Linked DNA regions of Alligator mississippiensis. The protein of the gene in region 2 purifies or fractionates together with the protein of the main gene of each other region. This does not show direct contact. Links are inferred from orthologs where the notes say so. Each region holds a gene or a part of one and is shown on either strand. Other genes may lie near its edges.

The links. Proteins that work in one complex are often made in the same cells at the same time.
Region 1: the proteins of SIN3A (region 2) and HDAC4 purify together in Homo sapiens (affinity purification with western blotting; 3 studies listed by BioGRID and IntAct, with this or other methods). This does not show direct contact. The link is inferred for Alligator mississippiensis from reciprocal best matches to the Homo sapiens genes SIN3A and HDAC4.

The regions. Positions count from the first base shown.
Region 1 is NC_081827.1:182,303,006-182,306,745, reverse strand, and holds the start of HDAC4 (histone deacetylase 4), read right to left. Parts: upstream 2,508-3,740; 5' UTR 2,335-2,507; intron 1,747-2,334; exon of another isoform or gene 1,668-1,746; intron 1-1,667. UniProt on the Homo sapiens protein: Responsible for the deacetylation of lysine residues on the N-terminal part of the core histones (H2A, H2B, H3 and H4).
Region 2 is NC_081834.1:27,956,904-27,960,643, reverse strand, and holds the start of SIN3A (paired amphipathic helix protein Sin3a), read left to right. Parts: upstream 1-1,532; 5' UTR 1,533-1,551; intron 1,552-3,132; coding exon of another isoform or gene 3,133-3,740. Other genes in the region: basic proline-rich protein-like, read right to left, coding at 3,133-3,740. UniProt on the Homo sapiens protein: Acts as a transcriptional repressor. Corepressor for REST. Interacts with MXI1 to repress MYC responsive genes and antagonize MYC oncogenic activities. Also interacts with MXD1-MAX heterodimers to repress transcription by tethering SIN3A to DNA.

The sequences.
Region 1 (3,740 bases), on a different chromosome or scaffold from region 2:
CTGCAGGGACTGGAATACTGCTAGGTCTCCAAACGAACTCAAACCATGCAGATAGCCATATTGGAGATGAATTCATAGAAAGGAACTGGTGTCTGTGGCCCCCAGCATGACAATGTGTTCCCTGAATCCAGGCATACAGATGGCATTCACCTCAACAGACAACCCAATCATCTGCAGAATTTACTAAAGCTCACCTCACCTTAAACCACTAAGTAACTTGATGGTAATAAATGTACCATTAAATCCAGTAAGTCAACAATTTAAGTGACAAGCCTAATTTCTGCAAACCTTGACATTAAAGCTGTCACAGCAAATCTATTGACAAACTGCTAAAACAACAAGAACCCTTCAGTGTCACGCAGGCATGTACATGAGCTACATAATGCTATTACAAAGGTTTTAAAGAAAAAAAAATGGATCAGGTTTACCACCCTCCAAATGGTACAAGGTAGCCTGGTATAATGTCAAGTAAACTGGCATGTAAAAAAGTGAAAAAGCTTAAGATGTCATGCTGCATTTGCCATGCCACAAAAATGCGAAGATAACATTTAAGAAGCTCAAGTGTTGCACAGTATCTTTCCTGATGAATTCCTGCAGCATAAACCCACACACAACTGCTCAGCAACACCTCCCTTCTCTCTGCTCCAAATACATTATAATTAATTTTTTTAAAACTATGACATGAAAATTGTTGCACAAATCCAACACTTCAGAGTTAAGAGTAAAATTCCCTTCTGATTGCACAGCAATTTCGGGGGGGGGGGGGGGGGGGGGGGGGCAGGCACAGGCCATAAGAGCCTGTGCTTACAAACATTAACCTAAGCGGGTCCTAATCCTGTTCTTATGCACTTTACATCAGCAGCACTGCAACAGTCCAACTACATTTTGAAAACGCAGTACCTGAAACACAAGCTTTGTTTTTTTTCCTCTATTGGCTGAGCCAACTGCGCCGGCGCTTGCCAATCAAAGAGCGGCTATTTGCTTGTCCACTTGTCATCCAAGTGGACAAGCAAAACGCTGCCCGGCTGGCTTGGCAGTGGGATTTGCAATGAGGAAATGAAATACACCAAATATTTTTCCCCTATAGCAAAAGAACCCAAAAAAAAAACAAAAAAAAGCTCCCCCCCAACCCTGCATTTGCCAAGTCACAGACTTTGTGACTTTGACACCCGGCAAAAAACCATTTAAAAATAAGAAGAACCAGGGGCCCCAAGTGACAGCAGCCTTAGAAATCGCTTTTAAACCATGCCCAGTAGCCCCGGGCATCCTCTCCCCCAAACCCACTTCACGAGCTGCTGCAGGCGGCGGCGGGAAGAGGCAGAAAAAACAAGTTCCGCTGCCAAAACCCTCCAGGCTCTTCGGCACCTCGTGCGAGCCCACCTGCCCGGCCCTGCGGGGAAGCGGGGTCCTGGGACAAGCCCGATGGGGTTTGAACCCGGAGGCTTTTTGACCGTGACTGTAAACAACTGGGCGGGCTCCGGCCCCGGCGGGCGGGAAGGAGCGGGCCCGGAGCGGGGGGGACCAAGACCCTACCCAGCCAGCCCGCCCGCCCGCGCATCCCCGCGGCAGCCAGACACACGGACAAGCGCGCCCGCCCGTCCTCCCATCACCCAGGGCTGCTCCGCACCCGCAGGGATCGCGGCCCCGCCCGGCTCGGCCGCACTCACCGCTGCCCGCATCCCTCCCGCGCCCGCTCCCGCCGCTCTTAGCACCGAGGCGGCAGCGGCGCTGCTCTCCGGGGGGGAGGGGGGAGGAGCCGCAGCGCCGGGGAGAGGGGGGCGGGACTTGCGGCAGCCCCCGCCCCACCCGCCTCATTCACAAAAACCCCGGCCACGCTAAGCCGCGAGGGGGCGGACCACGCCGCTCCGCGCCGACTGGGCAAGCCAGGCGTCTGTCTCGCCAAGGCCCACCCCCGGCCCCGCTCCTCCAGCCCTGACTGGCCAGCCACGGCCGCCGCGCCCTGTTTCCAGTCGCGGGCAATCAGAGTCCAGCTCGAAGCTTCGAGCGGCTTAAATGCACCCGCCACTGCAACACGCATGGCTCGGATTGGATGCGCTGTCCGTCCATCACTCTCTCCTTTCCCCCTCCGCGGCCCCGCCCCGCCCCGCCCCGCCCCCCCTCCGGACCCTCGGCGTTTCACGGTCGGAGCAGAGAGAAAAAAACAGCCGGGTGGGACCGATCCCTTTAAGGGCCCGGCGGCCGGGATCGGCCTTCCTACAAGTCAAAGCCGGAGGACAGAAACACCCGAAGTCTTAAAGGGGCCGCGCAGCGGCTGCCTGCGGGCAAAGGCGGGCGCAAGGCGCGGCGGGCAGGGCGCGAGCGGCAGGCACTGACCTGGACGGCGGGCACGGGCCCCGGGAGCTGGAGCGGGTCACGGGGAGGGCAGTGGCGGGGGCTGGCGCTGACACAGCGGCGCGCGCGCCACCAACGGACTCAGCCCATGACGGGATCCGCCATCTTGGAATTTTTAGCTGGAAAGTCACGTGCTCCGACCATTTTTTCCCTCAGCCAATCGCGGCGCGCGGGCTATTTATAGCAGCAGCTCCCGCCCCATCTCCCTCGGGGAGTGCGGGCGGCGGGGGAGGGGCTGGCGCTGAGCCCAGGTCCCCGCCCCACCATCTCGACTAGGCCCCCAACCCGCCCCGGCGGCAGGGTCCCTCAGCGCTTCCCTGGCCTTCGCCCCTGGGTGCTGCTTGAGCTGAGCCCCCGCAGGGCTTCCCTGGTGCATTGGGGCTGTGGCCCATGGTGCGCCCCTTGGGCATGTCCAGGATTTTGCGAAGGGCACAGGTGGTGAAAGGCGCTGTCGAGTGTAACGTGGCGCACAGTCTCTCGAATGATAGAAAATGAGAACCAGAAGGGACCACGGGAGGTCACATCTGGCCTGTCTCCTGCTCAGAGCAGAGCCAGCCCCAGCTAGATTGTCCTGGCCACAGCATTGTGTAGCCAGGGCTTCAAAACCTCCAAGGATGGAGAGCCCGCCGCCTCTCGGGGGTGTCTGTTCCAGTGCTGTACTGCCATCTTCATCAGAGGTCTTCCTTTACCCACAAATAAAAAGAAACTAGATGCTCTGCTCGTAGGCCAGGGGCCTGGGCCAGTGTTTCCCGTTTCAGGTGGAAGCAGAAACCAACAGGACTTCGTAGGAGTCGGTTACAAACCACCCGCAGGGCTGGGAAAGAGCAGCCTAGTTGCCAGAGGCAGAGACTGGGGCGGCAGAGTGGCTGAAGAAAGGCCAGCTTGACTGGGGGAACATTAAGACCATTAATGAAGAGAGAGGGTTGTTAACACCTAGGAACAGGTTTAGACGGGATGAGGTAAATTGTAATAAGCTGTGAATTTGCTTGACAACCTAGCTGCTGCCTGAGGTGCCAATGCTGCTGCCAGACAGTTGGCTTTAAACTCTGGGTGGAGCAGGAACCAACATGCAGCATGACAGCACCGCTGTACCCCTCCCAGACACACCCCTAGCCTGCCCTCCCTCACCATGTGTGTGTGGCAGGTTTGACAACCTTTTATCAACTTCCAGGGATGGCGCAGCCCAGGCTGCAAAACCTTATTGCAAAGCTAAGGAGTCCCACATGCCTCCATTCATGAGAGTGCTGTTTCTAACCAGCACATGCTCAATGATGCCGTTGACTGTGAGGTTTGGCACCTTTCAGTTTCCAGCTTTTCTCCACCACTGTGAGGCCTTGGAGCTCGCTTTACTTGAGAGCTGGGACTCATCCCAATGCCTGAATCCAGGA
Region 2 (3,740 bases):
CTTGTTTCAGACCCTGGGTTTAAGAAGACCCGGGGTTTGTGGCTCCTGAGTTCAGAGCTGTGCGCTGTGCTGAAATACTCCATCTTGTAACCTTGATTTTTAAACTGAGTAATATTCAAAACACTTTGTACTGAGCAGCAGAAGCAGGGAAAAGTGAAGGGAATAAAGGACTGGCCACAGAGATAGTGAGCAAATGGTCAAATTTACACCGTAAACTGGTGTACTAGGGACAGAGGCATGTCAGTTGGGGGCTTGTACCTAAGAAATGCTGAGCCACCACTGGAGGCAGCAAGTTCACTGGCTGACAAAGGTACTCAGCCTCTTCTTACAGGATCATGCCCTAAACCAGCTACAGATCCACCCCTACTGTAACAGTATCATGGACTAGACTATTAGAACATACTAGTGTAACCAACGGCATATTAGTTGTGACCCTGCACTGCCAGGCTTTGTGGATTTCCTTATCCTGGGCCTGAAGTAGGTGGACAGATACACTGTTGCTAACATTGGTGTAGAAAATCAAGGTGCCTTTCCTTTATGGTAGGCCAGGGGTCAGCAACCTATGGCCTGTGAGCTGGATCCAGCCCACAGACATGACACTTCAGAGACCTTTGGCAGCAGGAGGCTTGGACTGCAGGCCCATGGCATAGCGGGGACAAGGAGTGGTGGGAGACAGGTCCTAGTGTCGGCTCAGCTGCCTTTGACCCAGAGTGGGTTGTTCTGGCCCATGGGTGGAAGAAGTTGCTTGCCCCTGCAAAAGGTGCATTGCAGGGAGCCACCTGAAACCCCCCAAATGGACTTTAAGGTCTGCAGGACAGCCCTTGGCCAGTAAGCCAGCACATGGCTTTGACTGCACCCGTGGTGTGGATAAGGAAGGCTGAAGATATCATCTACCTGCATCCCACCATCCTTTAATATCCAGAGCACGTGAAATAAGTCTAGCTTTATTTCCTTCCCTCTCCACTGGAAATGCACAGCAGGCGGCCGACTCTGCATTCAAGCCCGAAGGGTCCCCAATACTGCCGGAGCATTTACACTCCACCTCAGATCCCCAACATCTGCTGGCGCCAAAGCCACAGCCCTGCTCTCCTCACCCACCCACGAGCGCAGCCCCAGGAGCCAGGACACCCCGGCTCTAGCTCCTCTCTGCCCCAGCTCTCAGGCCGCTCCCTGGAAGCCCCGTGCCTCAAGTTTCCCTGGCGGGAGATGGGGGAGAAACACTCCTACCTACCCGGCGTGTTGGAAAGTTTAATGGGGCGTGCTCCTCGAGCGCCCCGGAGCCGGCACCTCCGAGCAGGCGGCGCCCGGCTCCCCAGCCTGGGGAGAGGCAGCCGGAGCGGCCGCGGCTCCGCGCTCGCAAATGGCCGCTCGGCACCGAGCTCCGCCTGCACCAGGGCCGGGGCTGCGGGCGGCGGGCGCGGGGGGAGCCCGGCCCCGGCCGCAGTCGGCCCGCCCCGGCGGGCGGTGCTGCGCTGACGGGCTGGCGGCGGAGGCCAATCCCGGCGCGGGGGCGGTGCCGCCCATTCAGGACTCCCGGCCGCGGCGCTGAGGGTATGTAACAGCTGCTTCCCATTGAGGCTGGAAAATATCGGGCGTTTTCGGGGGAGGGGGCGGGCCGGGGCAGGGGGGGCCGCGGGCAGCGCCGTCCGTCCGGGGCCCGGGCCCGAGGGGGACCGCGCGCTCGGCTCAGCTAAGGACGGGAAGGGAGAGATTAAAAGCAGGAAAAGGGCTTTGCTTTCCCCTCCCGCGCGTGGGGCCGGGGGCGCCCGGAGGCGGGGGCTGTCCCGAGGGGTCGGGGCCGCCGGGCGGTGCGTGCGCGGGGCGTTCCCCCTTGCTTTTTGGCTCGGAATAAACAAAGCGGCGTCGCGCTTCGGGGCCGCGGGTCCAGGCGCTTGTTTGGCTGGTTTGTGCGCGGGGCTTCGCGGGCGCTGCCGGGGGCGGGGGTCTGAGCGCGGCCGCACACGCGGGGCGGCAGCGGAGCCCGGGCCGCGCGGGGCCCCCCGGGAAACTTGTTGGGCGCGAGTGGGTCTGCGGCCGGGCGGGGAGGCGCGGGCTGCAGCTGCCCCCACACCGGGGGGGAATCCCCGGGCCCGACCGCCGCGCGCCCCAGTTGCAGGCGCCCCCGGGCCGGGCAGCAGCCGCGCGGCGCTCTCCCAGCTGATCCGCTCGCAAACATGGAGCTGCCTCTCCCACCCCGCCTCCTCCGTGCTGGTGGGAGGGAGATGCCCGCCCCCGAGCGGAGCTCCCCCCCCCCTTCTCCCACAATCCCGCGCCCCTGCCCGCGCTCGCAGGGAGGCGGAGGCCGGGGCTGGGCTGCGTGTGGCGCCTGCCCGCGGGCACGGAGCCGTGCGAGCCGAGCTCGCCGCCGTAGCGGGTGCCTTCCCCGCCGGACTGCGGGCGGGGCGGGCCAGGCTATGCTGTGCAGGGCACGAGCGCAGCCGGGGCGGGGCAAGCGACAGATCCCGCCCCCCGCGTGCAGCGGCCGCAGCCCCCGAGCCCCGCGCGGGCTCCCGCCGCCGCGGACAAGCTGCACGGGCACCCCTGCCCCGCCGGCTTGGGCGGGATTCGCCCCGCTCCTACTGGCCGGAGGGTTTCGCCCCGCCCCCCCACTATTGGGTGGACTCCCAGCGTGGCCTGGCCCGGCCCATCACAAGGCCCGGCCGCCTCTCGGCTTGCGCTTCCCGGCCGAATGTGGCAAGGCTCCGTCCGGAAGGGGGAGGAGAGACGGGGCCTATCGTTGGCGCTGATTGGCTGGAGCGGAAGCGTCGGCCCGCCTCCCTGCGAAAGGGGTTGGGGTAAAGCTGGTGTCTTCCCCCCCGCGCGTGTAATGGATCCGTCCCACGTGGGCGCCGCTATCCCGGAAGTGAAGCTGCCCGGGAAGGGAGGGGCGGGTTCAGGGACAAAAGGCTGCGCCCGGCAGCTCCCCCGCGCCCTGCCCTGCTCCGGGGCTGTGCGTTCGCGCCCGTCGGGGGCCGGCGGCAGTGGCGCGGGCTAGGCGCAGAGACCCGAGCAGCTGTTGTTCCGGGCCCGGCCCGGCCCGGCCGTCCTCCGCGGGGGGCACCCCAGGGAGCCCCGGGCACTAAACTCCGCCTTTTCACGGCATCCCGCCAGGCCCGCGCCGCGGTCACGCACCGGCCCCTCCTGCGCGTCCCCACTGCCCTGCCTCTGGCCCGCCTCCGTCACGTGGCGGCGATTCCTCAGCGCGGCTCCGGCTGCTGGGCTCGGGACCAGCACGTGGATCCGGGGCTTCCCCTTCCCCGGCGCGGCCCGCTTGGCGCCTGCCCGCCAGCTGAGCCCGAAGAGGCGGGGCGGGGCGGGGCGGGGCGGGGCGGGGCCGAGCAGTAAATCGCCCCCGTCTTTTCCCCCCCCCCCCTTTTTTGGCCCGGGGAGAAGCGGCTGAGGCGGGACCGCGGCTTCCCCAGACCGACTGCGGGGAGCGGGCGCGCGGCGCCACGCCTCGCCCTGGGCGCTGGGTGCCGAGGGGAGGCGGGGCGCTCCCGTCCTGTGCAGCTGCTCGGGCGAGAAGCGACCTGCCGCCGCCGTAGTTGCACCGGCGGGGGTGGGCGAGGAGTGCAGCGAAGTCCTTGGCGCTGGAAACTTCAGCAACAGGCGGCGTCCGGGAGCGCGAGCGGGGAAGGCGGGAGCGCTCCCCGCGCTGTGCAGCGGGCTGGGAGCCGCAGCTCCCGGCGGAGGACCGGCCGCTGCTAAAAATAGCCCCCGTCGGCTCCGCGCGCGGCGGC